4 linked regions of the Alligator mississippiensis genome follow. The protein of the gene in region 4 purifies or fractionates together with the protein of the main gene of each other region. This does not show direct contact. Links are inferred from orthologs where the notes say so. Each region holds a gene or a part of one and is shown on either strand. Other genes may lie near its edges. The genes, in order: TADA2B, TAF6L, ATXN7L1 and USP22.

Region 1 (7,911 bases), on a different chromosome or scaffold from region 4:
ACACAGAGCTTGTGAATAAAGAGGATTTTTATCTCTTTTGACTTGTGCCATGTTATATTTTTCCTCACAGAAGAGGGATAAGGGTTTTATATTTATAGATCCCCTGGCATCACCTCATAATTTACAGTTAATCTCTTAGGAGGGTTTTAGAAGGCCACAAAGTTGCAATGGTTTTGTCACTGTATTGACAAAGAGGAAATACTTAGAAAGGTACATGAGGCTGTAGTGTAAATATTTCTCATTTGGGGGAGTTTTTTGGGTGTGTACATGTGCACGCATGCATGCCCAAATTATCTACAAACTCAAGAGCAAAGAGCAAATGCCAGCACAGAGGAGTTTTCCAAGGAAGCTCTTTCCTGCTGTCCCCATCACTTGTCATTTCCCATGGTTGTGAAAACAACAGGAATGTTAGCCCTTGATCTTTAGTCTATTAAAGTAAACAGCTTATGGGAAACTTTATCTTTTTAAAATTTCTTTTTAGTCTCAAAGAAAAATGCAGCTTGATTACTGAAAAGAAAATCCAGCCATCCTGGCAAGGCTTTGGGACCAAAGTTAAACTGGTTCAGTGAATAGGAGTAACTTTGCTACTCTGTTTAGAATTGGGAGAGTCGCACAAAATGTGGTTTCTCTTCACAAGTGGTATGGAAGAGGGCATAGGGATAAAACTACAAGTTGATCTACAAGTTACATGAGACAAAGTAGATGGGGCAATTCTGGTTCAAGGAATCTTTTACTTGTATTGTTACACCTTTTACCAAAATGCAAAAATAAACAAGTGCTTCACTTGCACAAGACTACTCTTTTTTTTTTAAGCCAGGGTAGTCAAACAGAGTACTTGGGCCACATCTGGCTTGCAGAGCCAGATCATATGGCTCACAGCCTTGATGGGGGTGAGGGAGGACCTTCTCATGGCTGCAGCCAAGTACCTGGGTATGAGCTGCTATGCTGCTGAGGCTCCAGCACTGAGAGAAGAAGCCTGGCACTGTGGCTTGTTCCCACGGCAGCCGAGCACCCATGACACCAGGCTTCTTCCCATGCTGATGCTGGGGCTCTGGTGCCATGGCTCTTGCCCAGGCATTTGGCTGCAGCTGCAGGGCTCCAGCAGCACAGCTGTCATTGGCTTGGCTGCCAGGAACCCAGGAGAGAGAAACAGTGCTAGAGCCCCAGCAGTGCCGCAGAAAGGAGACCAAGACTGCAGCTTGTTCCTGCAGCAGCAAAGTGCCCAGGCAAGAGTTGCGATCCTGGAGCCAAGCCCTAGCAGCATGGCAGTAAGAAGTCTGATACTGTGGCTTGTTCCCATGGTAGCAGCCAAGTACCCAGCCTCTTCATACCAGGTCCTGAACTAGCATGGTGAGGGAGAGGTCCTGTGGGCCTGATCCAGTCTGCAGGGGTAGCCAGCCCTGCACCACTGATCCAGCCTGCAGGGCTAGATGCTTTTGACACTTCTGATTTAAGATAATTTTCTTCTTATACTGACTAGTGATGGGTACAAAGTTATTAACTCTGCAGTAAAATGTATTTTAAGTAACACCCTACTTTTCAAACTGCCTCCATACTACTGCAGGTTTAGCAGTTAGTCGAGCTTCAGTACGTACAAATAAGTGTGACTTGTAGTGTGTTTTACTGCATCTTTTAACTGTTCTTTAAAAGACAGATCTTTTAACTGCTCTTCCGGGGCATCTGGTCAAATTAAATTCTAAGAGGAGGCAAGGCAAGACTTACTGGACCATATTGTCAATGCTAACCCTGTGTGGGATGGCTTAATAATAATAAGGCTCAAGTTCTCAGTACTGAACTGACCTGCTTCTTTGCTACAGACTGAATTGTGCCCTCTTGCATCCATTTTTAGTTGTGATGCCAATATTTGAAGTGAAGTGGTTCAAAAAAATAAACCCCATAAAAGATCTACCATAGAGATCATTTGGAGAAACAAGCAAGGGTAAGCCCCTGTTCCAAGCTTCTTAGCACCATGTACTAGTCTCGTTGCCACTAGTTTGGCCAATGCATTTCAAGACAAGTTTGTGTGCACATTTTTAGAACGGGACAGTAATGATGGTATTTTTGTTTTTTATTTTGTAATTGGAATGTTACAACCTCCGGTCTATCATTTCTCAGAAGACTTTCACGTATGTTGAATATGTAGTTGAAATTATCTAATGATTAATGAATCAGAGCTTCTGGAATTAAATTCTCCACTGATTTAACTTCTTAGCTGAGTCACCATGACTACTGGGTTTGAAATTTTAAGATCAACTATGAAATATTGTATTTTTAGTGTTGTGTTTTGTAGTGACCTTAAGCATCAAATCATTCTTTACCTTTAATTTCTTAATCGGAACAGCAAAGAAAAACAGTGTGTGTAATGCACATTCATAGCTTTAGAAATAGCTTTAAAAATTCAGTATTTTAAAAAAATGTACTTAACGACCAGGTGAGTATGCTTGAGTTTCCAAAAATGAAACTGAAACTGCAGAGGCCACAAGATGTGTTAATAGCAGAACCAGAAGACCTTTAGGTTGATTCGGTCTTTGCCAGGGGTTACAATGTCAGATATGTTGTTAAGTGTGAAATATTTCAATTAAAAAATGGCTAAATGTGCTTGGTTTCTTCAAGGGCCATTTGATAGGCAGAACTGCATGGCAGTCTCCTGCACAATAAATAGTAGTAAACATGCTTTAGAAAGGAGATTATTTTCCAGTAAAATATTTAGTTTATTCTTTTGCCTGTACAAAAAAAAATATATATTTGGTATTTCCCAGTACTTTTATTTGTAGTCTCCCCCACCCCCGGTTTTGGTGTCTCTAAAGATCTTGCCTCCCTCCGGTATCTTCACGGCGATAGAAAGGATTTGGCTTCCTTAATTTTTTTCTTGAATCCCTTGCAGGCAATGGTGAGACCAGCATGGTGCTGTTTCAGGTTCTCCAGCTGCTGATTCAGCACCTGAGCAGCATCCACCTTGTTCTCAAAGTCCTGCAGCAGCACCTCATTCCCCAGCAGGCCGCACTTCTGCTGCAGCCTCTGATTGTCTGCCCGTAAACGATCCCTGGCCTGCTTAGTTTTGGTCAGCACGTCTCTCTTCTGTGCCAGCACTGCCTCGATCTCCAGCAACTCGACCTTCTTCTCCTGGTTCTCGGCTTCCACGAACTGCAGTTTCTCTTTGAGCTGTGTCAAGACCTGCACTGTGGTGGTGACTTTCTTCCTGAGCTTCAGCAGCTCCTCGTTGCGCTCATCCACCTTCTCATTGTAGGTCTGGTTCTCGATCTTCAACTGCTCGAAGTCAATGAGGTGCAGCCCTTCAGCCAGCTCCTCCTGGGCCTTCAGTCTTGCTTCTAGCTGCTCAATCTTGTGCTTCAGCTTGATGTTCTCCAGGCGTACCTGAAACGGTGGGAGTGGGCAGAAAGGTGTGAGGATTTTCTGGCATCCTCACGCACCCCAACTCTGACAGAAAAGTACCTCACGCACCCTAACTACTGACAGAAAAGTACGGTAATGCGACCTTCCTTCCTTTCTAGGAGCTGCTGGAGCGCTGGCTACGGTATTTCCTGGCATCCTCACGCACCCCAACTACCGACAGGACAATATGGTAATGTGACCTTTCCTCCTTCCTGCCCAGGAGCTCATGGAGTGCTCGCTACCGTATTTCCTGGTGTAGTCATGCATCCGAACTAGTGACAGGACAATACAGTAACGTGGCCTTCCTTCCTTCCTGCTCAGAAGCTGGTGGGCTGCTTGCTGCCGTATTTCTTGGCATACTCAATCACCCTAACTACTGGCAGGAAAATACGGCAATGTGACCTTCCTAGGAGCTCATGGAGCGCTTGATACCGTATTTCCTGGTGTACTCGCGCATCACAACTAGTGACAGGACAATATAGTAACGCGACCTTCACTCCTTCCTGCGCAGGAGCTGGTGGGGCGCTCGCTGCTGTATTTCTTTGCATACTCACGCATCCCAATTACTGACAGGAAGATATAGCAACCTGACTTTCCTTCCTGCCCAGGAGCGCTTGCTGCCGTATTTCCTGGTGTACTCCCGCACTTTAGTGACAGAACAATACGGTAACGCGAAGCCCCGTGCTGCCTCACCTGGCTGATCTCCTCGTCCTTGCGCTGCTCGGCGGCCTGCAGGCGCTCCAGCTCGGCCCGCTCCCCGCCCGGCCGCCGCCTGCCCGTCGCCGCCGCCTCGGCCACGCAGGCCCGGTAGGCGGCGGCGGCCGCCCGCGCGCGGCCCCGCGCCTCCTCGCAGGCGGTCTCCTGGGCGGCCCGGCGGCGCTGGGCCCGGGCGGCTTCCTGCGCGCGGAGGGCCTGCAGGTCGTGCAGGGCGGCCAGGCAGCGCGCGTAGCGCTCCTCGGCGTCGGGCTCGGTCCGCGGCGGCGGCGGCTCGTCCGGCCGCTTCCCGCGCTGCAGCAGCAGTTCCCGCAGCCGGAACTGCTGGCGCGCCGTGGCCTGGCGCAGCCGCTCGCGCTCGACTAGCAGCGCCCGGTACTGCTCTACCAGCTCCGCCCGCCGCCGCGCCTCCGCCGCCGAGCCCGCTTCGGGGCTCTCGGCCTCCGCCTCGGCCTCGGCCTCCTCCTTCTCCTCCTCCTCCTCCTCGTCAGCCTCCTCCGGCTGCTCCATGGCGCCCTGAGACGCGGCGGCAGCTTCCCCCGTCTCCATGGTAACGGCGGGCGGAGCAACGGTTCTCCCCCCCCCACGAGGGCTCTGATTGGTTGTAACGAAGGGAAACCGGCTCGGCGTCGCTGCCCTCATTGGGGCGCGCGCTGTCGCCCTGCCCCGCCGCCCCGGCGGGATTGGAGGGGGCGGAGCAGGCCCCCCTGGCGCTCATTGGGCGGCCGCGGCGGGGCCCTACCCCCGGGGCGCGCGGCCATTGGCGGGGGCGGGGCGGCGCGTGCGCAATGTGGGGCGGGGCGGGGGAAGATGGCGGAGCTGGGGAAGAAGTACTGCGTGTACTGCCTGGCCGAGGTGAGCTCCCTGCGCTTCCGCTGCACCGAGTGCGCCGACATCGAGCTGTGCCCGGACTGCTTCTCGGCCGGCGCCGAGATCGGGCCGCACCGCCGATGGCACGGCTACCAGCTGGTGGACGGCGGCCGCTTCACGCTGTGGGGCGCCGAGGCCGAGGGCGGCTGGAGCAGCCGGGAGGAGCAGCTGTTGCTCGACGCCATCGAGCAGTTCGGCTTCGGCAACTGGGTAAGGACGCGGCCGGCAGCCGCTCCCGCAGCGTCGCCCGCGAGGGGAGCGGGAGCGGCCGCCCAGCCCGAGCCGGCCCCTTCCTCGGGGGTCAGGAGGGCATCGCCCCCGGGCTCGGCAGGGCGCCCCCTTTCCCTGAGGGGGATGTCTCCCTCCACGCGGGGCCACGGGAGCGGGCGGTGGTTCCCCTGCTTGACCTGGGCCCGTTGTCACCGGTCCACACACGCGTAGGGTGGGATCAGGTCTGGTCCCCCTGCTTGGGCGGCTGGGCTCGCGTAACCCCAGCCAGGCGCGCGCCCAGCCTTCTTTTGAAGGCCTCTAAGGTAGGTGCCTGCGCCGCGTGTCAGGTTTGTGGCACGCGCGCCCAGGCTAGCGGCCGCATCACACAGAACTTGAAGTAGGGGTCGCCCACCCCGGTGCGTGCCCAGTGCGGCACACGAAGACATTTTGCTCAGTCCTTGGGGTTGGCTGTGGGGGAGCTGCGAGGGCCGGATCCTTCTGGTGGCAGCCCCAGCCCCTTTCCCACTGTCCAGCTCAAGGTGCACGCGCACCACCCGGCTTGGGGCTCCACAGACGGCTGCTTTTGGTCTCCCAGATGCCTGCCACAGCCGGGCTGGGCTCTGGGCCATCCACTGCGGATCCCAGGCTGCTCGCGGCAGGGGATGGGGAGGCCGCAAGCAGCTGCACTGGGGTCTGCAGAGCTGTGGTCCAGCTCGGTGCCAGCAGCAGTGTGTGTGCGTCTTGGGACAGACAGCGGAGGAGGGGCTGGGATTGCGCTGCTGTAAGAAGGATCAGACCCCTCGCAGCTCTCCTGCCGTCTGCTCCCGGCACGCCAGCATCTTACGAGTTCAGAAAGGGTTTGTGGCACGCTGCCCAAAAACGTTGCTGACCCCTGGCTTAGATTACAGATTGTACGGGATAGTTTGGATAGGGATGATTGTGCCTCAGGCAGAGGGTTGCACTAGATGAGCTCTGGAGGTCCCTTCCACCCCTACGACTCCATGATTGTGATTGATTCTACCCAAACCATCTACCAATCTATTGTTTAACCTCTTGGTAAAATCCCCAGTCCTTGACACCATGGTGCTGCAGACCCTGTTGTCCCATGCTGCTGCCTCCTTCCTGCCCTGCCCCACCGCAGCATCTTGCACCCCAAGGGCTTACAGGAAGCTTGGTCATTTCCAGCACCAGAGCCTTTGTCGTCAGGTACTGACTTTGCCCCAGCTTCCAAAAGTCGGATGCTTCTTTCTGATGCCTCCGGCCTGCCCGTGCTGTCCATGCTTCTGCTTCGCTTGCATCTGTTTTCTTGACAGCTGCTAGGCTCATGTCACTGTGCAGCTCATGTGTGCAGCTGCTTTCTGGCTGTGGTGGGCAGCAGATGTTGGTGTGATGTCCAAGTGAAGTACTATGTGTCCACCTTGGCTCAGGAGACTGAGCTTTGGCAGAGCCTAAGATCTTTATGCTGAGGTAGAGGTGGGGGAGCACTTGGTTTCTAGCTCGTTCAGGTGAGTGGTAATCAGGTATGTTATCCTGAAGTCGGGCAGAAGCAGGGTAGGTGTGCCTAGGGTAACCAAATCAGGGTTGCATAAGTTTTCACGAGCAACAGCTGTCTCTGTTGGACACTGCGAAGGGACATAGCAAGCTATGCTGAAGCCAAGGTTGCAGATTGTGATTGAGGTTGTACCAGTGCTCTTGCTGAGACTTAAACCCAGATGTTCCCAGTTAGAGGGTCTTGCCTCTCCACTCAGCGTCAGGCTGATCACCACATTTGGGGTCAGGAAAAAATTTTACCTGAAGTTCAGATTGGTATGGACTGGAAGGTTTGCCTTCTTCTGTAGCAGGGATTGTGGCAGTCTTCTTTGATCTCTTGAGCCTGTATTAACAACCTTTGCAACAGCAGGGCATTAGCCACCATGGTCCTCCTGCTTTACATGCGATTTAAAGACAGAGGAGAAGAAGGGAGAGTGGGCAGTACTGAGAGAGGTGAAGGAGATGGCAGGAACAGCAAAGCCGTAGGATTTAAAGATAATCCAGGTAATGGGATAAGAATCTGTAGTCCCTGCTTAGACCGTATTTAACATAATACAACCTGTGGATGACTTTTTTGTTGTGCAGTTTTATGTTCAAGTCAGTTCTTAAAATGCCAGTGTTTAAGAATAGTTATTTGGAGCTCAGCAAACAAGGTTGCTACAGGGTTTTGTGTATTTCTGAACATGATGTCAGATGAAGGAAAACTAAGTGAATGGGATGTCCTGTTGTCTTTCTGAGTCTTTAAAAAACAAAGTAGCAGCTCCTGTGCAGGAAATGTTAACTCAAGATGTTGGCACTTGCAAAGTTGATGTTAACTGTTTCATTGTTGATCAGGGTTGCGGGAGCGAGGGACATTTCTGGAAGACTGTGCAGTGCCAGAGCAACATCCTTTTATACACAGTCTGATCTAGCTACATGCCATGCAGTGTTAGCTGATTTATTTAAGATACAAGCACAGCACTGTGGCATCCAAAGCTGTTCCATTTAATTTAGATACCTAGTAATGGAAGTTTTATCGTTGTTCATTTGTTTGTTCTTGGAAGGCTTTTGTCAGCCAATAGTTTTGTGATTTCTTTAAGCAACAGTTACAACAGCAGTAAAATCTGATCAGGGTTCAAGTTTCTCACAGTCTGGATATGTTTTGTCTAGCCTTGTCTTCTAATGTATAGAAGAGGAGAAAACTGAACTAGGTAA
Region 2 (6,905 bases), on a different chromosome or scaffold from region 4:
GTTCAGCCACAAGGACTCGGGGCTGTGCGGCGACATCTCCCTCAACAACCGGTAACGCGGGCTCTCCGTGGGGGCCTGGGGACTGCTGCGCTGGGAGGGGCAGGTTGTTGAGGCAGCTGCCACCGTAGAGGCAAAGGTGGGAGTGGGGGCTGCCCCCCCTGACATTTCCCAACCCCCACCCTCCCCAGGCTGGGTCTGTGCAACACGCAGTTCCTGCAGCTCTGCACTGAGGCTGACGAGCGAGTGCGACCGCTGGTCTACGTGCTGCGCTACTGGGCCAAGCAGCAGGGCCTGGCGGGTGAGGATCTCCCCTTCCCCCTCTCGCTGGGGGCTGTGGCTTTGTCCAGGGCTCTGGGCTGGGCCAGTCTGGGGGAGAGTTGGGGGTGCAGGACACAGCCCCCCATCTCACAGTTGTGTCTGCCCTCTCAGGTAACCCTCATGGAGGCGGCCCACTCTTCACCAACTATGCCCTGACGCTGCTGGTGATCTTCTTCCTGCAGACGCGCTCCCCACCCATCCTGCCCACTGTGGCCCGTCTCCAGCAGCTGGCAGGTAGGGCATGCTCTGTGCCCTGGGGCTGTGCATGTCTGTGCATGGGAAGGCAGGGGCTGCTTGGGTCCAGGAGCACCAGGAGGCCGGGCACCAGTAAGAGAAGCAAAGGGCAGCTCTGTGGCGAAAAACGTCCCCTTGAGCTTGGCATGTGAAGCCTGGCTGGTGCCCACGAGAGAGCCATGTGCCCTGCCCAAAACTAGCTGCAGTTACACGGGCTGCCTGGAGCTGCCACATGTGTGGGTGTGTGTGTGTGTGCTTGTGTGCGAGAGCATGAGCCGGGGGTGGAGGGTGCGTGCATGTACATGCATGTGACATCCCTGTACCCTGAATCCAGCAGCTTTCATGCTCCATTTCGTTGGCCAGGAGCCCATGAGGTGCCAGGCCTGGCAGGGTCCCAGGAGTTGTATTCAGCCCTGTCCTTATCTTGGAGCAGGACAGTCCCAGCCCTGCCTGGTGCCCTTCCCACCTGCTCCAGGAAGGCCCCAGGGCAGGAGGGGACTGGCCGCCAGGCCCTGACCTTGAGTTAAAACAAAAGCCGGATGCACCACAGCCGCCTCCCTTTAGCCTTGGCCTCCATGATCTTGGGCTTGGGAGCCTGAACTAGAAAGAAACCCTGGGGTGGAAAATCCAAGTCCCAAAAGGACCAGGGCTTTTGGGGGAGCTCGGCTTGCATCTGGCAGCCCCCAGACACCAAGGCACAGCCTCTCCTCTGGGTGTTACCCCTAGGCTGGTTCTGGGGGCTTTGATATGATCCAGAGAAACCAAAGCAAGTTCCTCCCAATGATGCACCGGTGTATTGGGATGCTGTGCTCTGGTTTATTGCATGCCAGTTATTGTATGCTGGTTTACTGGGATACCAACAATCGGGCCACGTGACCCAGAACAGCTACATCCAGCAGAGACCACGCAGCCTCACCGCCAGCGGATGAAGACTCGGTGCTCTCAGAGTCTGCCCTCGTGGTCGAGGCGAGTTGTTGTGGAAGAGTTTTATCCCATTCAGGTTCAGATGTCTGCATTCCCGCCCGTTTCTCTACGACAGCAATCTCTTGGCTCAGGGAACAGGGAAACTGAGTCATGACCTGTGACTTGGCCTATATATCTCTGAGCTAATGACCTCTTGGCACAGGGAAACTGAGTCATAACTTGTGCCCCGTAGCCCATTTCCCTGAGATGATCTCTAGGCTCAGGGAGCGGGGAAATGGACCCTTGCTTTTTCCTGGGGTTGCCCGATTAGCACGGGAGTGATCCCTGACCAGTGCATCAGGGCTTCCAGGGAGCTGCCCCCCCAGCGCCTGCCATCTCCCACCTGCTGATGGCAGTGACTCGGACGGAGCTGCTTCTGGGACCGGAGCCTCCATGAGGAGGGAGTGTATGGACACCCCCAGCACAGCACTGGGGGGTGAGACCTCCTTGACATGTGGTCTGCGTGGCGTGGCTGGGGATCGCTAACCATCTCCTTCCTTCCAGGGGATGAGGAGCGGATGGTCGTGGACGGGTGGGACTGCAGTTTCCCCCGGGACGCGGCACGGCTGGAGCCCAACACCAACACAGAGAGCCTGTGTGAGTGCCGTTGGGGGGGCTGGGGGCAGAGGGGCCATGCAGGGATCCCTGTCCTCACCCCACTTCTTTCCTGCTCCCCCCAGGCGTCCTTCTGGCCGACTTCTTCCGGGAGTTCGGGGAACAGGAGCTTTCAGGTCACGTGATCTCCCTGTGCGAGGGCCGGGTGCTGCCCCTGGAGGCAGTGGCGGGTGCGGGGCTGCGCCTGGGCCCTGTCACCCTGCAGGACCCCTTCGAGCGCAGCCACAACGTGGCCACCAACGTCACGGAGCGCATGGCCCAGCGCCTGCGGGTCTGCTGCACCCGGGCCGCCAAGTACTGCCGCAGCCTGCAGTACCAGCGCAAGTCTGCCAAGGGCCGGCCCTGGGGCCTGGTGCGCCTCTTCCAGCCTGAGGCTGGTGAGCTGGACTCTGACGGGCTGCTCCTCGCCTTGCCCTTGGCCCCGGCTGCCCGTCGGCGTGAGCTGGGCCTAGATCCCAGCTCCCGGCAGAGCTGGTTTGGGCACGTGTGCGCTGGCGTTGCCTTTGTGCTCAGAGACGTCTTAAAGTGCAGTTGCACGGAGCTCCAGCGTCAGCCCCTTGGACATGCAGAGCAGCTCCTGGAGCCCCCCGGGGCATCCCTTCAGCAGGGGGAGACGGGGGAGCCCCCAACCTCCCCAGCCCAGCAGCCGGCAGCCCCCAGGGAGCCTGTGGATGCCCCCAGGGAGCTTGTGGATGCCCCCAGCGCCCCAGGAACGCCACCGGCTGCTGGGCTCAAGCGCCCCCTGAGCGAAGAGGAGGGGATCCCCAGCCCTGTCTCCGTCTCCCCTGCCCGGAAGAGGCCGCGAGCAGAGGCCCTGGAAGAAGCAGGGGCTGTGAGCTGGAGCTGCGCCCTGTGGCACCGGGTGTGGGTGGGCCGGCGCCGGGTGCGGCGGCAGCTGCGGCCCCAGCACAGCAGTCCCCTGGCAGAGGCCGGCACCGAGCAGGAGGCCGCACGGTCCCTGGAGCTGGAGGAGAAGGTGTCGGCGGCCATTGCCCGGCAGGAGGCAAGCGGGGAGCCGCTGCTGCAGTTCACAGCCTGCGCCCGCCTGGACGCCCAGGCCAGCCTGCGCTTCACGCCTGCCCCCCAGCACGCCACGCTCTTCCAGGACTTCTACCACTTCCTGCACAGCTTCCTGCCCACCATGCTCCAGCGCTACCTCAGCCGCGTGGGGGAGGCCAGCCCGGAGCCAGGGCCAGTGCCTAGGACAGAGCTAGACCTAGAGCCAGGCCCCCCCCGCCCAGTCCAGCCTGGGGCTGAGGCAGACCCCCAGTGAGCGACTCAGCTGCGTGGGCTCAGGACGCTGGGACGCTGCCCTGCTGTGTGCGCGCCGCCTCCAGCTGGGGGGAGAATAAAGGTCCCGCTCTTGTGTCCCAACCCGTGTCCTGTCTCCTGTGAGCTGGGGGGAAATCTCCCTCTCTGTCCCCTCTGGGTTTGGGGTGGGGGGACATGGCAGACGTGTTTGCCCGGTTCAGGCTGATGCTTTGGCCCGGCAGCCTCTTCTGCGCACCGCTGCACGGTGCCCGTCTCCGCGGCTGCTGTTGGCAGAGCCCTGGGCGCCCCACGACCGGCTCTGGCGCTTGGTCGAGCTCAGCGCGGGGGCGGGAAGCTCTGAGGGCACCACGGCCTGGTCCCAGGGTCACCCCGCCCCCCAGAGGTGTGAGAAGGGAGGCGGGGCGTGGCAGAAACCATGTCCTGGCCCTTTAAGAGCTCCAGAACCACGTGGGTTTCGAGTGGCGCGGGCCCTTTAAGAGCCCGGCGTCACGTGACAGCGGCCCGCCCACGTCATCCCCAGGCAGCAGAGGGCCGGGGGTTCCCCGCTGGCTGGCGCGCGCCCCCGGGGGGCGGGGCCGGGGCCGGTCCCCCTTGGCGCGCGGCCGCGCACGTGTGTGCGCGCTATCGCGCGTCGTCCCGGCCATGGCGGAGCGCGACGAGCGCCGCTTCGTGGAGCTGCCCCGCGAGTCCGTGCGGCTCATGGCCGAGAGTGCGGGGCTGGGCCCGGAGCTGCCCGACGACGTGGCCGCGCTGCTGGCCGAGGACGTCTGCTACCGCCTGCGCGAGGCCGCCCAGGTAGGGGGCAAGCCACGCCCCCGGCCACGCCCCCCGCTTCCTCCCTGCGACCCCGCCCCGCGCTGCTCCCGGCTCCTCCGTGACCCCCATCGCCCCCCCCCAGGCTCTTTCTGCCCCCATCCCCACCCCCACAGCAGCCCCTTGCTGCACCCCCCGTCCCCCATCTCCCAGCACCCGCACCCCTGTGCCCCCCACACCCCCGTGTTTCCCCAGTCACCCCATCCCCCCCACCTCCCGAGTGCCCCCCGATGCCACCCCCGCTTCCTTATGCTCACCGGTGACTACCAGTGCCCCACGGCCCCGCTCTCCTGTGGCCCCCACCCGTGCCCCTGTGGGCTCCCCAGATCCCCGTGCCCCCGATACCACTTCACACCCGCCCGCGCTCCTCGTGCCCATCAATAACCCCGGTCCCGCGCACCCTGCCCCCCCCCCCCCCCCCCCCGTGCCTGCGTGCGCCCCTGAAACCACCCGCCACTCTCCCCAGGCCCCCCGACCCCACCACGCCCCGGTCCCCCCATACCCATTTGACTGCCCCCCACCCTTATGGGGGGGCCATGTCCCAGTGACGCCCCCCTTGCCCCCCACTGCCAGAACAGCTCCCAGTTCATGAAGCACACCAAGCGGCGCAAGCTGACGGTAGAGGATTTCAACCGGGCGCTGCGCTGGAGCAATGTAGAGGTGAGTGTCGTGGGGGGGCTGTATCGGCTGCCCCCCTCCCCCCCCCCCAGCCTTCGTGCCCCTGGGGGGAAGGGGGCTCGCGCCTCCCCCTGCCCTGGCTGACCGTGGCGGGGGGTCATCCTAGGTGATCTGCGGCTACGGCTCCCAGGACGCGCTGCCCTTCCGGCCGGTCAAGGAGGGGGAGCTGTACTTCCAGGAGGACCGGGAGGTCAACCTGGTGGAGCTGGCCCTGGCCACCAACATCCCCAAGGGCTGCGCCGAGGCGGCCGTCAGAGGTATGTGGCCCCCCACGGCGGGACCCTCCCCCCGCAATAGCTGGACGTCCCTGGGCTGTGGCTGCTTGGGGCTGGAGATGTCTCCCCTGCCCCTGGGCTCATCCTGGGTCTCTGCCCCCTGCTCCCAGCCCTGGGGGACTCTGGGGAACACCCAGGCTACCCCCTCCCCATCCAGTCCTGGGCTGGGGCTTTTGAGGATCATCTGACTGGGCTGTGGGGGATCAGCAGGAATATCTGACCCCCCCCCCCCCCCCCGCCCCCCGCTCACCTTCGCAGTGCACGTCTCCTACCTGGATGGGAAAGGGAACCTGGAGCCTCAGGGAAGCGGTAAGAGCCTCAGCATCCCCCGCCCCTGCACAGTGCCCCCCAGCCCCAGGAGCTCCCTGGCAAGAATAACATCCATGGCGCGCCCACCCCTCCAGTGCTGTGCCCCGTTCTGGTCCCTGCACCGCCACGTGGGGAGAGAGGAGCTGGAGAGAGTCTAGAGAGGGGCAACAAGGGATTAGCAGCCTGGAGGGGTTTCCAGAGAGGGGCTTTTCAGAGAGGCCTCAACACACTGGAGGATCAAACCAACAAAAATCTCAGGAAGTTCAACAAGGACAAGTGCAAAGGCCTGCACTGAGGACGGAGCAATCCCATGCACCGGGACAGGCTGGGGGTGACGGGCTGGGCAGCAGCTCTGCAGAAAAGGGCCTGGGGGTGACAGTGGGCAAGAAGATGGCTATGAGCCAGCAGTGTGCCCTTGTTGCCAAGAAGGCTGCTGGCATCCTGGGCTGCATTGGTAGGAGCGCTGCCAGCAGATCCTGGGCAGTGATTCTTCCCCTCTATTCTGTACGGGGGAGGCCACATCTGGAGTCCTGTGTCCAGCTGTGGTCCCCCCTCCCCCTACAGAAAGGATGTGGACATGGAGAGAGTCCAGCAGAGGGCAATGAAAATGGTTGTGGAGAGAAGCTGAGGGAATTGGGCTTAGTCTGGAGAAGAGAAGACCGAGGGGGATTGAATAGCAGCCTCCAGCTCCCTGCAGGGCGGTTGCAAAGAGGCTGGAGCTGGGCTGGTCTCAGCGGGGGCAGACGACAGGACAAGGAGTAATGGGCTCAGGCTGCAGCAAGGGGGTTTAAGTTGGATATTAGGAAAAACTTTCTCACTAGGAGGGTGGTGAAGCACTGGAACGGGTTTCCCAGAGAGGTGGCGCAGTCTCCATCCTTGGAGGTTTTGAAGACCTGGGTAGATGAAGCCTTGGCTGGGATGTTGCAGTTGGGGCTGGTCCTGCTTGGAGCATGGGTTGGACTGGATGTGACCTCCTGAGCTCCCTTCAACCCCCGTTGACTATGATTCTTTAGGAGGAGACACTAAGGAGGACGGGCCTGGTCAGCACAGAGCCAGGGGCTAGGATGAGGGTTTACGACCTACTCAGTGTGGGAGAGGAAGTCCTCGGGGATTTCTTGTGGCCTCTCTCTCACCAGGCACGGACAAGGGGTCGCAGTGAAATCAGCAGGTTGGCAGTTTAAAACCAAGCCCAGGCAGTTCTTGTCCCCCTGCCTGGAATTTGAGCGCGAGGCTCGTTGTCATCAGACGTCAGGGGGAGCTGGGAGTTCAGCCCCGTTCCCCAAGGGACTGGACACGTCCTTGGAGGAAAGAGGCATCAGTGGCTCTGGAGCACGGGTGCGAGGGGCTCGGAGTCTGTAGCAGAACTACCTGGATCCTCAATGCTGGGGGCTGCACTTGGGAGAGGAACAGGAAAATCCTGCCAAGACC
Region 3 (7,057 bases), on a different chromosome or scaffold from region 4:
GAACTAGCTAGTTTGCCAGTGCTATCTCTGCATGAGTTCAGTTACTGAACTACAAAGTCCCATGACTCATATTTAGATTTCCATTCCCACCAGGTGGGCACCTGGGCCTCTTCTGTAGCAGATAACCAATCTGGCCTCTAAAGAATCACTTCTATCCATATTGGAAGGAGTTGCTGTTGTAGTAAATCCATTCAAAAGTAACATTCTTAGAAATACTAATGAATCTCCTTCTAAACTGCTAAACTTTAATGGCTTTGTTACAAAGGATTGGCTTTACATAGTTCCTTTAAGACATTAAAGGTCATGATATAGCTGTTTCTTTTAATACTTTTACAGATAGTCTACATTGTATTTTATAAAAGTGCAGTAAGAAAGTTCAAACTATGTTTAATTTCTATGTCTATAAATTCTGTAAAATAATGCATACAGGTGAATCTTAACTAGAATCAAAGACCAGAGCATAGAAATGGGCCTTCACTTGGTTTTGGTTATTCTATGCTCCGGTCTTTGATTCCAGTCAAGATTCACCCGTACAGATCATTTTACAGAATTCACAGAACCAGAATCTGAACCTATGTCACCAGAGTCCTAGCCCAGAACTACATAAAAGCCATCTTTCTTCCATACCTGATGAATTGATACCTGGATTTAATTTTGCAATACATTTGTTTTACTGATCTCATTTTGTAGCCATGAATATTCCGTCAAGGGTGCCAAGTGAAGTTAAAGCTTTTAAAATATCTGTAAAGCAGGAAATATTCCTATAGGGTCACAGTTTAATTATTCATTTCTCAGTCAAATCTTATTTCTTTGTATTACCATGTTGGTCAGTTATGTTACTATTACAATGTTGAGACTGTTACAGAATAGTTTACTGTTGCTGCTAACATAGATATCCACAGGTGTTTGGGCTGAGGACATTTCTACTTTTGTATATTGGAATAATTACTCCATTTGATTATAAGGAAATTTCCAAGTTAAAGAAATGTCTAAATAAATTTTGGGATGTGTTCAATACTTTGTTTCAGCATCTTCCTTGGTACAGCATCTTCCTTGGTATTATCTGGTATAAATCATTTCCTGACTTGGGGTTTTCAATATTTTTTAATGTCCATGTTGTTACAGATCTAGTCCAGCCGCTCCTCAGGGTAGGATCACCCCTGGTTAAACCATCTCATTCAAGTGTCTTCCTACCATGCTCTTGAAAATGTCCAGGGATGGAGATCCTACAACTTATCTGGGCAGCCTGTTCTTCCTAAAGTTCCTCCTAATCTCCAACCTAAATTTCCTCTGCTGTAGTTTGCTCCTAGTCCTGTCTCCTACCGCCACAGAGAAAAGGGTATCTCCATCCTCTTTATAATCACTCTTCTGATATTTGGGGACTGTTATTAAATCCCCACTCAGTCTTCTCCAGACTAGTCCTAGTTCTTTCAGCCTTTCTTCATATGTCATATTTCCCAGGCCCCTAATCATATTTTTTTTACTGTGTGTTGAACTCTTTCCAATCTGTCCACATTTTTCTTGAAGTGTGGGGCCCAAAATTGGACACAATATTCTAAATGAGGCCTTAGCAGTGGTGAATAGAGCAAAAGAATCACTTCCCTTGATTTTTCAGGTGACACTCCTCTTAATATGACGCAGTATACTGTTGGCTTTTTTGCAACGAGCACGCTGTTGGCTCATATTCAGCTTATACACCTTCAAGTATAATAACATGTATTTCTAATGATGCATTTTGTAGGAGGAACAAATTCCTTTGTGCATGCCATGGAAGTGATTTGCTCAAAATTGACCTTCCTTGATTGTTGAGGTTTGTTTCTTTCCAGGAAGTAATCAGACATATTGCATCTTCAATTCATGCTAATTTTTCCTTCATATGGTCTGATTTTTGCTTCTGTTAAACCATGGATTGCAGCTCGGCAGTGTGTCATGAAAAGCAGCATGTAGATTAGTGCCATGTGTTGAAGTTGGAAAGTTCCCTCATAAATTTCTCTTAGTTTATGGCAGCTTGTATCCAACTGTTTTTGTTCCTCCCTTATTTTTAGTTGAAATCTTCCTTTTTTTCAGGTTAAGTGCTTAAGAATTGCTTTGCTGCTCTGAGGACTCTATATCATCTCATGGGGTGTTTGGCCATACATATTTTTCCAGCAACCTTAACTGGGTGTTCAGTCACCAGGATTTACTAGTTGTTCTCAAACCTTTCCTTTGAGTCTTGTCCTCAGATGTAGACCTTGAATAACTGGTAGAGGTTTTATGGTGTGATGCTTGTCTGGTGTCACTTGTTTAGCTGGCTGTTGTCTGTCTGACTCCTTTGACTGTTAACATTTATTTTGCATAAGCTTAAATTTATTGTATGATAGTCCAATCTCGCTTATAGCCTTTACTACATGTAAAGCTGTATCTTCTTAAGAGAGTCCATCATCCTTTTGTAGTGAGAACACATTGACAAAGGCCTTGACACATACCAAGGACTTTCTTTCCCATTTGTTGAAACCATAACTGAATTTAAGAGGGGTTTGGTAGGGAAGTACTTCCTTTTCAAATACATGCTTATTTTCCTTTGTGGAGGTTAAGATTGGTTCTTGCCTCATTTCTACCTGTATGCTTTGAATGTACTTGGATATTTTGATCCATGGCCATGCATGTTGGTTTTTTATGAAATGACATAGGAACATAAGACTGGAAAAGATCTTCTGGGTCTTCAATTCTAGACGCCAGCTGTTGTAGGCAGCCATGTTAAATAATTAATTTCATTTCATAAATTCACCAAGCATCATCTTAAAAGCTAGTTGTTTCTTTTGCCACAACTCTTCTACTAGAAACTGTCTAGAACCTCACTCTGATAGTTCAAATCTTGTAATTTCCAACCAAAATGTATTCATGGCCAGTTTATACCGATATGTTCTAGTAAGAACCTTGTCTTTTCACTTAGGTAATTCTTCTCCCTTCCTGGTAGTTTTAGGCAGCAATCAAAGCTCCCCTATCTGTTCCAGTATGTATTTATCTTTTTTGGAACACAGATGAACTAGTGTCCCAAATGAGGTTTCATGAGGGCCTTGTTCACCGGCACTAGCACTTCCCTTCTACCTACAGGAAATACCTCTCTTGATACACCCTCAGATAGCTTTTGCTTGTTTCCCAGGTGCATCAGGTTGGTGGCGCTCAGTCATCCTGCGGGCAGCTCGTTTTTCTTTGAGACATAACAGGAGACCTGTAAAACATTCCAGCGTCTTTACCCTTTGCTCTTGTTACAGGTCTCGGGGAACGCCGATCAGCCAGCCCTCGCAGCGCAGCAGGAAACACTCTCTAAATGCAATCAGAGATTTCAAGTTGGCTTTAAAATATTAAGGATGAGGTTCCTAGATGCCAGCTGCTTCTAGAAAAAAAAGAAGTGGTGGATGCCATTTGACAGGGCAGGCGAGGCCAAGGCTCTTTTCTCCAACGTCCACCCCGTCACGGACAAACCGCCGCCAGATCTCCTAGAACTGAACCTGCCCGCGCCGCTGCCACCACCCTCCCCAAGTGGTGCTGACCCAGTTGGAGCCAACGACACCGTCAGGTTGGCGCTCGCCCGAACCCCCCGAGAGTGCCCCTCACAGGCTCCCAGGAGAGCACGCATGACACCCACAACTCTCCCTGCACCTGATGAAGGGCGCCAGTGCCCCAAAGCTTGCAAAGAACAATTTCCCCAACTATTTTAGTCGGTCTAATAAAAGCTATCCCATCAAAGACGCTGGCCTGCCCATGCCCTCAGACCCACAGGCTACCCCCTCCCCTCCCAAGGCAGGTTTGCCCTCTGGGGGCAGCAACAGCTTCTCACGCTGGCTCTGCAAACTCCTCCCCGAGGCACTCCGGAGCCTGGATCCCACGCGATGGCCGGGAGGGTGCCCGCGGCAGCCCCGGCCCCGCCCCCCCCTCAGGTGCGCCCCGCCCCTCACCAGCGCTGCCCGCCCGGCGCTGCTGAGGGCAGCGGCTTCGCGGTGCGCGGTGCGCAGGCGCGGCGCATGCGCGCGGGGGGCCGGGGAGCCCGATCTGATAGGGAGCAGGGGCTGACACTACCCCCGTGTGGGCGGCGGAACGTCCCGAGGATGACGTGCGGCGTTCTCGAATCCCGTGCCTCGCTCGCCCGCTCGCCGCTGCCGGAGGAAACGGGGAAAAGCAACAAGGAGGCAGGAGCCGGAGCGGCGCCATGGCGGCCCTGGAGCGGCCCGTGCCCAGCCCCGAGGCGTTCCTGGGCCAGCCCTGGACCGCCTGGGTCCGCGAGGCCGCCCCCCCGCACGCGCACGGCGCCGCCCCCCCGCACAGTAAGGGCACCGCCGCGCGCGGCCACCGGCCGGGTCGCCGCAGCGCAGCGCAGCGCACGCCCGGCCCAGGCGGCCGCGGCCCCTGCCCCGCGCTGCCCCCGGGGGCCCCGCCCCGCCCCACCCGGGGATGCGGCGCCGGGCGGGACTGGGATGCTGCTGGCGGACGGGGGCGGGGGCCCTGCTCGGGCTGGTGCTGGTGCTGTGGCGGGGCTCCCCAGACGCGTCCCCTCCTCTCTTGACTCTCCACTTGGCTTCCCCTCTGCAGGTGTCGACGTAGAGGAGCCTGGAAAAGAGGGTGGGAAAAGCCGTGAGGTGATGAGGCTTAATAAAGAAGGTAAGTGCAGCGCCCCTGCCTCGCCCCACCTGGCTAGTCCTCCCCTGGCAGCTCAGCCTCAGCCGGGGGTTGTTGGGCCGGACGCCTTCCGCACACCAGGTCAGAAGAGGACACCAGGGAAGAAACGGCAGAGCTCGTGCTGGACTGGGGTCTGGCATGGACTTTTTCAGGGGCAGGCCCTCCGCGGAGGGCAGTGGGGGTGGGTGCGCACACGGTACGAACTGTGTAGCGGGTTTTCGGTGTGCTTTGAGCTGCCCAGTGAACTGCGGGGGCCACTTGCCAGTGTTGGCGGTATACATATACATTTATTTATATCTATAGAAAAACATATTTTTGCAAAAAAAAAAAAAAGAAAGAACAGGATGCCATCGCTCCGCACCAGCTTCTGAAGTAGAAACGTGACGAGGGCACGTACAGGCTGTGAACGGGGCACGAGGTGATTTGAGGTGAAAGTCGCCCTGCATACAGCAGTGGCCATGTTGGATTTCTTTCTAGGTTTTGTCCACTTTTATTTTTATTTTTTATTTTTATTTTTTTTGGCACAACCCTTCCCTCATTTCAGTGTGGAAGAGGCACATGCGTGCAGCACTGCACATTTTACACCTTCACCTCATTAGCAGCCACCGCTGGAAAGACACCAGTAAGGAGCAGGCTTTGCTTGCTGCAGAATAGGCGTGTGGTAATATTTAAATTGGCTCACGTTTTGACCGAGTTGCGCTCGGTTTCAGGCAGTCATGTGGTGAGCGTGATTACGCGGAGTTGTGTGGCCGATTCAAGATGGCAGCTAATTTGAGCGATTCTTCGTACTGAAAAACAGGCCACATCGATCCTGTGAGGAAAATTTAGGCGTAAGGTTGTCATTTAAAATATTACGTTTTCTGGTTTCATGAGTATGAACACAGATAAATCCCAGCTTACTCACATGTGCAAATATGCTATATTTAACAGGAGACCATAAGTTTGTAAGCAAAGCACCTTACATGGTGGATAGTAAGGACTGAAAAAGACAGATTTGTTTGTGACGTTATTTACTAAGATGAAGCTTGTGTGATGAAATTCGTGAACCAGCATTTTGGAAATGTTTGTATGTGGCTGCAAATTGAGGAAGCTGTGCTGGTCTGTGTTGGTTTGAATTAGGTTTTACAAAGTTTTAGCCTAACAGCCACCAAAATATTTTTGTGAAATTGGTTCATAAAGGACAAGCCCGTAGTTGTAAAACTTTTATGATAACATACGTAAGTTGAGAGAGATCCCATTTTTTATACTGGATACTCAAGTATTACAATAACGGTTTTTTAGAATATATATCATGGAATTATGTGAACTAGACTTTTACCATGTTGTCAATGTCACTGTATTCATGCTAATGTCAATACATGCGGGCGACTTAAAGGTAAAGAAAATGTTTCTTTTCAAGATCGTTCTTGAATGGAAAAAAATCTGGTAGTCATTAAATGAAAAGACTATCAAGAATGTGTGAAATACTTCAGTGACATTTTTTATTAACGTAATTTTAAAATAAACTCCTTAGCCAAACATATTTGATGGCACCTAAATAGAGGTTTGTAAAGTTGGGCAAAAATTCAAGGGGCTTATAGCTCAAAAAACTTTGACGTACTCTTTCTTGATTTTATAAAGAAGACTTTTGCTCTTTAACCTTATCTTCTGTAAAAAGTTTACTCTGTTGAGATTATATCCCGTCTTGGAAGAGCTCAAATGGCAAATCCATGGTTCAAGAACTTGACTTCTAGTCATAAGCATCCTCTGTTCAGTGCAACATGCAAATAGCTTAATTCTTTAGAATAATTCTATATAGTTGTGAGCTGTAATCTTTTCTTTTTCATCATCTGCAGTTGTGTCTTATGGATGACTAGGGTAGGTTTTTTTTGTTTTGTTTTGTTTTTACATATATACCATCCAGTAAAACACATTTCCAGGTATGAAGTGGAAGTCTTAAACTTTGTTACCGAAATAGTAGCTGAAAGGTATAACACATTAATAGCATTTTCACAGTAGTACAGTAAAATGCCGTTATTGTCTCTAATCAACCCCAGTTACATTTAAAAATAGAACACTTTAGAAATTTCTCACTGCTTCCAGATAGGAACTTGATTTGGGCATCTTTTGAAAGGATTTTCAACCTTGAATACATTAGCATGTGTTGAAATACTTGTGCCTTATTCATTAAGATAATAGAATTTTAATGCCCTACCCATCACTATAACTTTATTCCTTTTGTAAATCTTGAATTGGCTTGTGCTGCTCTTGTTCTTCAGGATTCTTTGTACTTCTGTTAACAAGAGTCAGATATGTAGAATGTACTGCATGCATGTTTGTAATGGTACTTGGGAGCGTAATATGATGTCGGATATACTTGTCTTCTGTGGTATGAAAGTGCTGTTTGGCTACAACCAAGAGT
Region 4 (7,159 bases):
CACCAGGTTGTTCCAGCATTGAATAGGAATGGGCAAATACTGCTCTGCTTAGATATGGATTATATTAATACTGAAGTATTTTTTTAATTGGAAGATATTCAGCCCACTCAGTATAAACAGTACTGATTACAGATTAGATTTGCACTGGCCTCCATCCTCTTGAGCTACCTCCTGAGTGGTCTTGCCTTCTCTCTTCTGTTTAATGGATGCTTGCTCCCACCTGGCTCTCACAGGGGTAAGGAGTAGCTGACTGGATGAGTCTCTGTCCCAGCCTTCATGTCTGGAGAGCTGTAAACCTTCTGCAGCAGATGACTAATCCAACCACGGTGCCACACAAACAAACGGTGGCAGTTGAATGCAGAAACTCAGAACTTGGTTTCATTGCTACCTTTGTATAAAAATGAATGAAGCAGTTTGCAGCTGAGATGTTGCAGACCATGCTGGAAAGATCAATATGAGTGAGACCTCATGTGAATGCAGGATCTACTAGTGAGTTTCCAGGTGCCCTCTAAAGACTTGGGGAGAGGAGGTATTTGGGGCAAGGTGGTGCCCCTTTTTCCATGAAGGCTGATGCCTGCCTGGCAGTGCTAGACTGGGCCAGTCGGGAGCAGTGAGAGTTCCCTAAGCTTTGGTTTGCTGCTGACAGAGCAGACTAAGGGATGGGTGGCTGGATATCTGAATAGCCTAGCTATGTTTCAAAAGTTTTGAGCTTGCCAAGTATGGCTGATGTTCAAACTATTTGGCAAATGATTGAGCTTGCTCGTCTCCAGCCTCAAAGCAGATACTCTTATTTACATGAGTGAGTTTCGCTACCTTTCTCTAGAAATGTGCTTTGTTACCAGTTCCTTGTTCCTCTTGCAGCACTGACTGTCAGGAGCAAAAACTTTATTGCAGTCACTGGGCTGCCTTCATCTGAAGATAGATGAGAGGGACAGCTACTGATGAGATAATGTGACACATACGCTCCTACCAGTGAGCGTGCTGTTTACAACATGTAGTTTGTTTCCAAATGATCACAGGTAATGTGCTGGTTTAATTCACAGTGATGAGAACAAGGGGAGAAGTTTAACTAGTTTTAAGGCTATGGGGAGGAGGCAGGTTGTCAGATACTGCTAGGGATTTGATGATTGGTTTCTGAATTAAAACTAATTGGTAACTTTCTTTGATGGCTCTTTTGAAGATGGATGAGAAAGATCTAAGAGAACTTAGCTTTATCACTGATTTACTTCTTCACAGATGATGTCTCAGTGCCATCATAGCATGCTCGCATTTTCTTTTGAGGAGATAAAAGAGTTGTTGGATTAGTAAATGTACAGGATCTATATTTTCAGTTCCTTTGTCTTTATTAGGGATTTGGTAGATCCTAAGATCATTATTATTAAAAACAGCTTATGACATTTCTTAGGTGAGATATCTCTTTCAGATACATCTGCTGTACACTTGCTGTGGTTTTGTTACAATTGAAATTTATGGCAATTATTGTTAACAGGAGGATGGGTCATTAGTGAGTGCACACGCAGTCTTTTCTCACTGGCTCTTTTCATGGAATTAATCCTGGGGCATCTTCGCCCTATCTGAAAGGGCTTTGTTTTAGTTCACATTTGGACCCCACTATGCTAACCAATGAACAAGAGAATGAAAGAATGAAGACACAAATGAAAAGACAGTCCCTGCTCCAAAAGGCTCACTGTCCAACTTTAAGGCAGGAGATGACTGGTGCATCCACACAAATCAAGGAGTACAAGGAAAGATCGAGAGCATATTTGGTCATTGCCCTCAGGTTTTTGTAGGTGACATGGCAGTGCTGGGTTTGAAGGAGGACAATGTGGAAGCTTTGCAGGTGTTTACCGGGAGCTCTTCCCAGGCATGAGGAACAGCCTGGGAAAAAACAGGAAGGGTTAGTCAGTACTCTGGCTTCTTCCTTATTGTTCATTACATTTATAAGTGACCCCCTTGGACACAAAGACTGTGATATCATGGCAAGCCATATGGTATTTTGGCGAAATATCTTAACATTGAACTATTTTTATTGGAATCAACAGGGTGCCTCACAGTTACAGGGGTGTCTACCCACACAGAGCTCATTGCAAGACTAGTTATGGCTCATCACATCTGTGATGTATTTAGGGGGAGTGGGTGGTTTCAGTGGTGTAGCACCCAAGCAACCATGGTTGGAAGCAGTGTGTTTGCGTAATACAGAAGCAAACACTCCTCCACAGGGGGAGGGCAATGGGGGAGCAGCACACTCAGCAGCAATTCTTGTTACCTCTTTAAACAGAAGCACGAAGCTTGCATTCCCACGGTGCTGGCCTAGAGCTAGACAAACACAACATACGTTACAAAGGGTCAAAGGAGGGACTTGCCCTCACTCTTACCCACCTAGACAGACCCTTCTGGAGCATTGCAATACAACCAGGTGTGCTAGCCAACCCCAGCCCCTTTGCGCACAAGGGGCAGAAACAAGCCTGATATTACTGACCCTTGCAAACCTCTAGTCTCCTGGATACTCTTCTCAGAAGATACTTGTGCATAAGCAACCTCTGTTTGGCTCGAGAAACCATTGTCCTTAAACACTGTTTAGAATAAGGCATATCAGCAGAGAAACAAGGAATTACACCATCCATGGAGACTGACCTGCTGTTGTTTTAACCCTAGGAAGTCGCCCCCAGATCACAGGTGTTGCCAGGGCAGCGTGGGTAGTTCAACCTGCTGCCGGCCTGCAGCGAAAGATATAATTCACTGGGGCCGGCTACATCCAACTTTTTATTAGAATTCAATCCCACAATTATTTTAAAATAGAAGGTTATGGTTCTATGCAAACAATTTGCAAATACGCAGAACAGACTTAAGTGTTCAGCAGTTTCTACACAATCATTTCTCTTTCTTTTACCAAAGAGTAGCAGCTCCAGGTAACATAGGACATAATTTTGCCCTTGGAAACACAGTCGCCACTCTCCGATTTGAAGGAGCTGTAGCAACAGACCCGAGAATAGAATTGGTTCTCATTGACAAAAACAGATACAGCACTTTCAGCCGAGGTCACTGCCCAGGGTTCCAACAGGAAGTTCTTAATAGTGTACATTAAACAAGACTGACAAACTCGGCGCTGTATAGCCCAGCCTTAGCACGACTTCTCATATTGCTATGGGAAGATGAAAAGTCTGGTTCTTTGCAGCACCCGCCATCTGAAGCAGCCTCCTACCGCTTTTGAGAAACCTTTGCAAACAGCCTGTCTGTTTCCTCCCAGTTTCTCTTCCCTATTGCTGTTAGCTCCGTAGTGCAATACAGCCAAAGAACAGAGCGTAGCCTCAAATATTTGCATCCTTCCTCAGACTTCTCATTTTCCCGCGCTCATTCACCGGTCAAAACGATGCCCCATTTGGTCGTATCGGGGTGCTTCACGGTTGGAAACGCCGCGAGCACCCGTTGTCACAGCGGTCCCTAGAATGAGACGTCAGCCGCCTGGTACCCCTGAGTTTCACCTGACTTTGCCAGGGCCCCAGGGGCCTGTAGGGACAGGCCTGCAGCTCAGATGGGAAAAAACCCAACACAGCTCCAGCCCAACCCTTGCGTGAGAGCCATGGGGGGAAGGCGTGTTGCATGCCAAGCTGGGGCGGGGTGCCCCCTAGGTGGGAGCTCCTGGAGGGACCCTCCCAGGGAGGGCACAGTACACTGCAATGGTGGGGTGGGGCTGCAGTGCACTGTGGCCCTGGCTGGGGGAGGGGGGCAGGAGGCAGCAGCAGCCCCCGCCCCCCTGGCAGGAAATCACTGGGGTAACAGAGAAGCTGCAGGGACAAGCGGATGTGACAGCAGCTCTGCCCCCACACCTTAGCCTGCTGCTGTGGGCGGGGCCGCCTGCCCTCCCCCTCCCTCCCAGCCAATCCAGAGTGGCAGCCGCCTCCGCCAATAGCACCGCGCGCCTCGCCCCGCATCTCCCGCCCCCTCCCCGCTGTTTGGCGCCCCGCGCTGCCCATCCCCACCCCGCGCCACCAATGAGTCGCCAGAAGGGGCGGGGCGGCGGCGGCGCCGGAGTGACAAGCCGCCGTCCAATGGGCGCGCTCCTCCCTTCCCCAATGGCGGCGCGGCCGCCCCCCCCCGCGCTGCTCGTTGGTCTGTCCCACTCCGGGCCTGGCGGGCTAGGTTGAGTTCGCAGCGAGGACCATTAAACACCGCGGAGGGGGGGGGGGGAGATTTAAAGAGACAGGCGCAGCGCGGCGGCCGGCCGGGGGAGCGGCGGCGGCGGCCGGGCGGAGGACAAGAGGCGCCCCCTCCCCCCCCGCCGCCAGGCCCCCCGCGCCCGCCGGCCTCCATGAGGTAGAGGCGGCGGCGCCTCCCCAGCCCCATCTTTGTGCGGCCCGGCCCGGCCCGGCCCGGCCCGGCCCCGCGCTTTGTTCGGCGCCGGGGGAGCCGCCGCGCCCGCCCGCCCGCCCGGGGGCCGCTGAGGCGGCGGCTGAGGCGGCCCGGATTGATGTGGGGGGTCTGACATGAGTCCGCCGGCGGCCGGGTGCTGCCATGTGACCGGCTTCAAGGTGGAGAACTGGAAGCAGAACCTGCGGGCGATCTACCAGTGCTTCGTGTGGAGCGGCTCGGCCGAGACCAGGAAAGCCAAGGTACCCCGGGCCGGGCCGGGCGGGGCGGGGCAGGGCGGGGATGGTGCGTGCGGGGAAGGGGCGGCCGGTGCCGATCCTGCCCCTCTGCGGACACCCCCCCCTCCCCCTCCCGGCGCCTTCATCCACAGCCTTGCCCCAATTGTGCAAGGGGGGGAGGGGAGGGGAGGGGAGGGGGTCTCCAAAAACATCCATTGATCTCTTTATTTCCTCCCCCCACCCCCTGCGAGACGACCCACGCTCCCCTCGCCGCCACTTCTGACTTCAAAATGACTTTGCAGGTTTCTGGCGCCGCTGCGAGGGGGAAGCGCGAGCGTCGCACAGGTAGCGGCCGGGGGGGCGCGGGGAGCCGGTCCTGGCGGGGCGCGAGGGCCGGGCAACGGGAAGAAGTCGTCTGACTCATGCGCCGTCTTCCACTTGCCAGATTTTTCTTTGAAAAGAAACAGTCGAGGGAGCGCACGAGGAAACGGAGGTTTAAAGCCGGTCCCTCGCTTCCTAGTCTGGCCGTCCTAAAATAAGACTGCGGGCACATTCGGGATCTCTGCTCCTTTGAAGCGCTCGGTCCCGGGCTTGCTTTCTCTCGTGCCACGGGGGAGAAAAGAAGCCGAAACACAACTTAATACGTGGGATGGGGCTTGCGTGGAGAGGGGCAGGCGGAGGAGCGGGACTTTAGTTATGTCTAGTGAAAGCCCCAAAAGCAAAGGCGGGGTGGGAAGGCCGTGCCCGACCCCCGGCGGGGCGGGAAGGCCGTGCCCAACTGGTACCTGGCGTGTGCCGTTGCTGGAGGGTAACGATTAGTTTTGCCTCATGATGTGATCTCGTCTGTTCCCAAACTTCTACCGTTCCTGGGGCATCGACACGCTTTTCTGCCTCTGTAGGTTGACCCCACATCCTTGTACCTTTTAGTGAATACTTTAAAAAAAATGAGTGTCATTCTTGAGGAGCTGTGATAAACTCCAGGAGTACAATATTTATTTTTCCTGCAGGCTATAGTGTTTTGCACGTCACTGCTTGAATGCCAGTTGGAAGTCTTCGTCCAGTAGCGTGCCATATTTTTTCCACCCACATCTTTTAATGACTCTCTTTCCTTTTCCTCTTTTGCTCCTTGTATGGCTGGTTGTATAAAGGAGACGAGTTCAAAGGGACAGTTCTTCTGCCTTCTGAAGGAAAGCATCAATATTTCATTGATTCTTTAAGAAGCTAAAAAATCAGCATTTTAATGGGTACCAATAGATCGGTCTGGAAGTTGTTGGATTCTAGTCCATGTGAAACATGTGGAAATACAGGGTGAAATCTTGGCCCTGTTGACTGGTGAGGCTGGTATCTGACTTGCTGACTTTAATTGCGTAACCTGATTGAATACTCAGTCACCAATAATCATTTCACCTTCTTCTAATACTTGGGTATGTACCACTTGGACTTTTTTGTAATGAAATTATCTTTTCTTTTTGCTTTATTGTTCAAATTCGGAGACCGATGGTAATAGCTTTATGTACATGGAGCTGAATGGCCCCAGCCGCGGTTGTGCCCCACCCACCCATGTCACATTTCTTTGCCAATTCTTGTTTTTTTCTCTCTCAGCTGGGTACACGCTGTACATTTTTGACACCTTAAATGTTACTAGAAGCATTTTTTCGGAAAGTCTTCTTACGGCCTAACAACTAGCAAACAGTTCTGTGTTGTTCTGCAGTCCGTGGCTATGTGTGGGGCATAGTTCTCATGTTTAAAAATCTCTCTCTGTGGATGAGACTTCATTATTAGTCCTGGTCAGTTGGTTGAGGTAGAGTAAAAATAATAATAACAACTTTAGAAAACGTATCTCGGTTTCCTTGTATCCAGGCAGCGAGCATATAGCAGAGAGAAATATACATCGAGAAATGTGACTTGTTTGTCCTTATAGAGATTGCTCCAAACTCCAATTGGACGGTAATAGGAAAATTCAGTGACTAAAGCCATTCTTGGTCAAAAGAGCCCAGCTGCACACGTTGTGTTGCACAGTTGGCTATCTGGTGATAGTGGAACGGTCACATTTGGTCTTTAGATTTCTAGGACATTGATGTTCTGTGTCTTTTCAAGGGCTGAGTCTTAAAAATCCAGATAGCAATAGAAACTGCAGGGGGCAGAAACTGTCCATTTCTGCTGCTTTACTTGGTTACTTCTACTGCTTACTGCATTATGCTTTGAAAGACCATTTCAACACTGTTTGCTTCTTGCTGTTTGTTTCCATCTATTCTTTCTTTTTCTCTCTCTTTCTCTACAGATTTGCATCTGTATGTAGTCTTCAGCTTTTAATCCGGTGCACTCTCTAATATGATATATTTTTACGATTCTAAAGATGTAGCTTTCTAAAGCTGAGTATTTTCCAGTTATATTTTTAATCAGAAATAAGCAAAGGCTGTAATACATGCAGTTTTATCAGTTATAACTGATTGATACATCAAGTGGGCTCCTTATCTACAGGCCTCTAAAATATTCGTAGAGCTCTGAACCTTTGTACAGGGGGTTTTTAACCAGTGGTATAACATGCAGTTGCACCATGGCAAAAACCTTAG

The links.
Region 1: the proteins of USP22 (region 4) and TADA2B purify together in Homo sapiens (affinity purification with mass spectrometry; 4 studies listed by BioGRID and IntAct, with this or other methods). This does not show direct contact. The link is inferred for Alligator mississippiensis from reciprocal best matches to the Homo sapiens genes USP22 and TADA2B.
Region 2: the proteins of USP22 (region 4) and TAF6L purify together in Homo sapiens (affinity purification with mass spectrometry; 3 studies listed by BioGRID and IntAct, with this or other methods). This does not show direct contact. The link is inferred for Alligator mississippiensis from reciprocal best matches to the Homo sapiens genes USP22 and TAF6L.
Region 3: the proteins of USP22 (region 4) and ATXN7L1 purify together in Homo sapiens (affinity purification with mass spectrometry; 3 studies listed by BioGRID and IntAct, with this or other methods). This does not show direct contact. The link is inferred for Alligator mississippiensis from reciprocal best matches to the Homo sapiens genes USP22 and ATXN7L1.

What each region holds. Positions count from the first base shown.
Region 1 is NC_081825.1:25,916,939-25,924,849, reverse strand, and holds the start of TADA2B (transcriptional adapter 2-beta), read left to right. Parts: upstream 1-4,899; 5' UTR 4,900-4,917; coding exon 4,918-5,187; intron 5,188-7,911. Other genes in the region: CCDC96 (coiled-coil domain-containing protein 96), read right to left, coding at 2,830-3,375, 4,087-4,656. UniProt on the Homo sapiens protein: Coactivates PAX5-dependent transcription together with either SMARCA4 or GCN5L2.
Region 2 is NC_081838.1:3,250,858-3,257,762, forward strand, and holds the start of TAF6L (TAF6-like RNA polymerase II p300/CBP-associated factor-associated factor 65 kDa subunit 6L), read left to right. Parts: upstream 1-3,901; 5' UTR 3,902-4,044; coding exon 4,045-4,197; intron 4,198-4,788; coding exon 4,789-4,875; intron 4,876-4,999; coding exon 5,000-5,150; intron 5,151-5,426; coding exon 5,427-5,477; intron 5,478-6,905. Other genes in the region: TUT1 (speckle targeted PIP5K1A-regulated poly(A) polymerase), read left to right, coding at 1-51, 189-298, 430-552, 2,020-2,112, 2,196-3,403. UniProt on the Homo sapiens protein: Functions as a component of the PCAF complex. The PCAF complex is capable of efficiently acetylating histones in a nucleosomal context. The PCAF complex could be considered as the human version of the yeast SAGA complex.
Region 3 is NC_081827.1:26,743,543-26,750,599, reverse strand, and holds the start of ATXN7L1 (ataxin-7-like protein 1), read left to right. Parts: upstream 1-4,054; 5' UTR 4,055-4,189; coding exon 4,190-4,304; intron 4,305-4,569; coding exon 4,570-4,638; intron 4,639-7,057.
Region 4 is NC_081836.1:54,032,401-54,039,559, forward strand, and holds the start of USP22 (ubiquitin carboxyl-terminal hydrolase 22), read left to right. Parts: upstream 1-4,158; 5' UTR 4,159-4,484; coding exon 4,485-4,610; intron 4,611-4,911; exon of another isoform or gene 4,912-4,931; intron 4,932-7,159. UniProt on the Homo sapiens protein: Deubiquitinase that plays a role in several cellular processes including transcriptional regulation, cell cycle progression or innate immunity.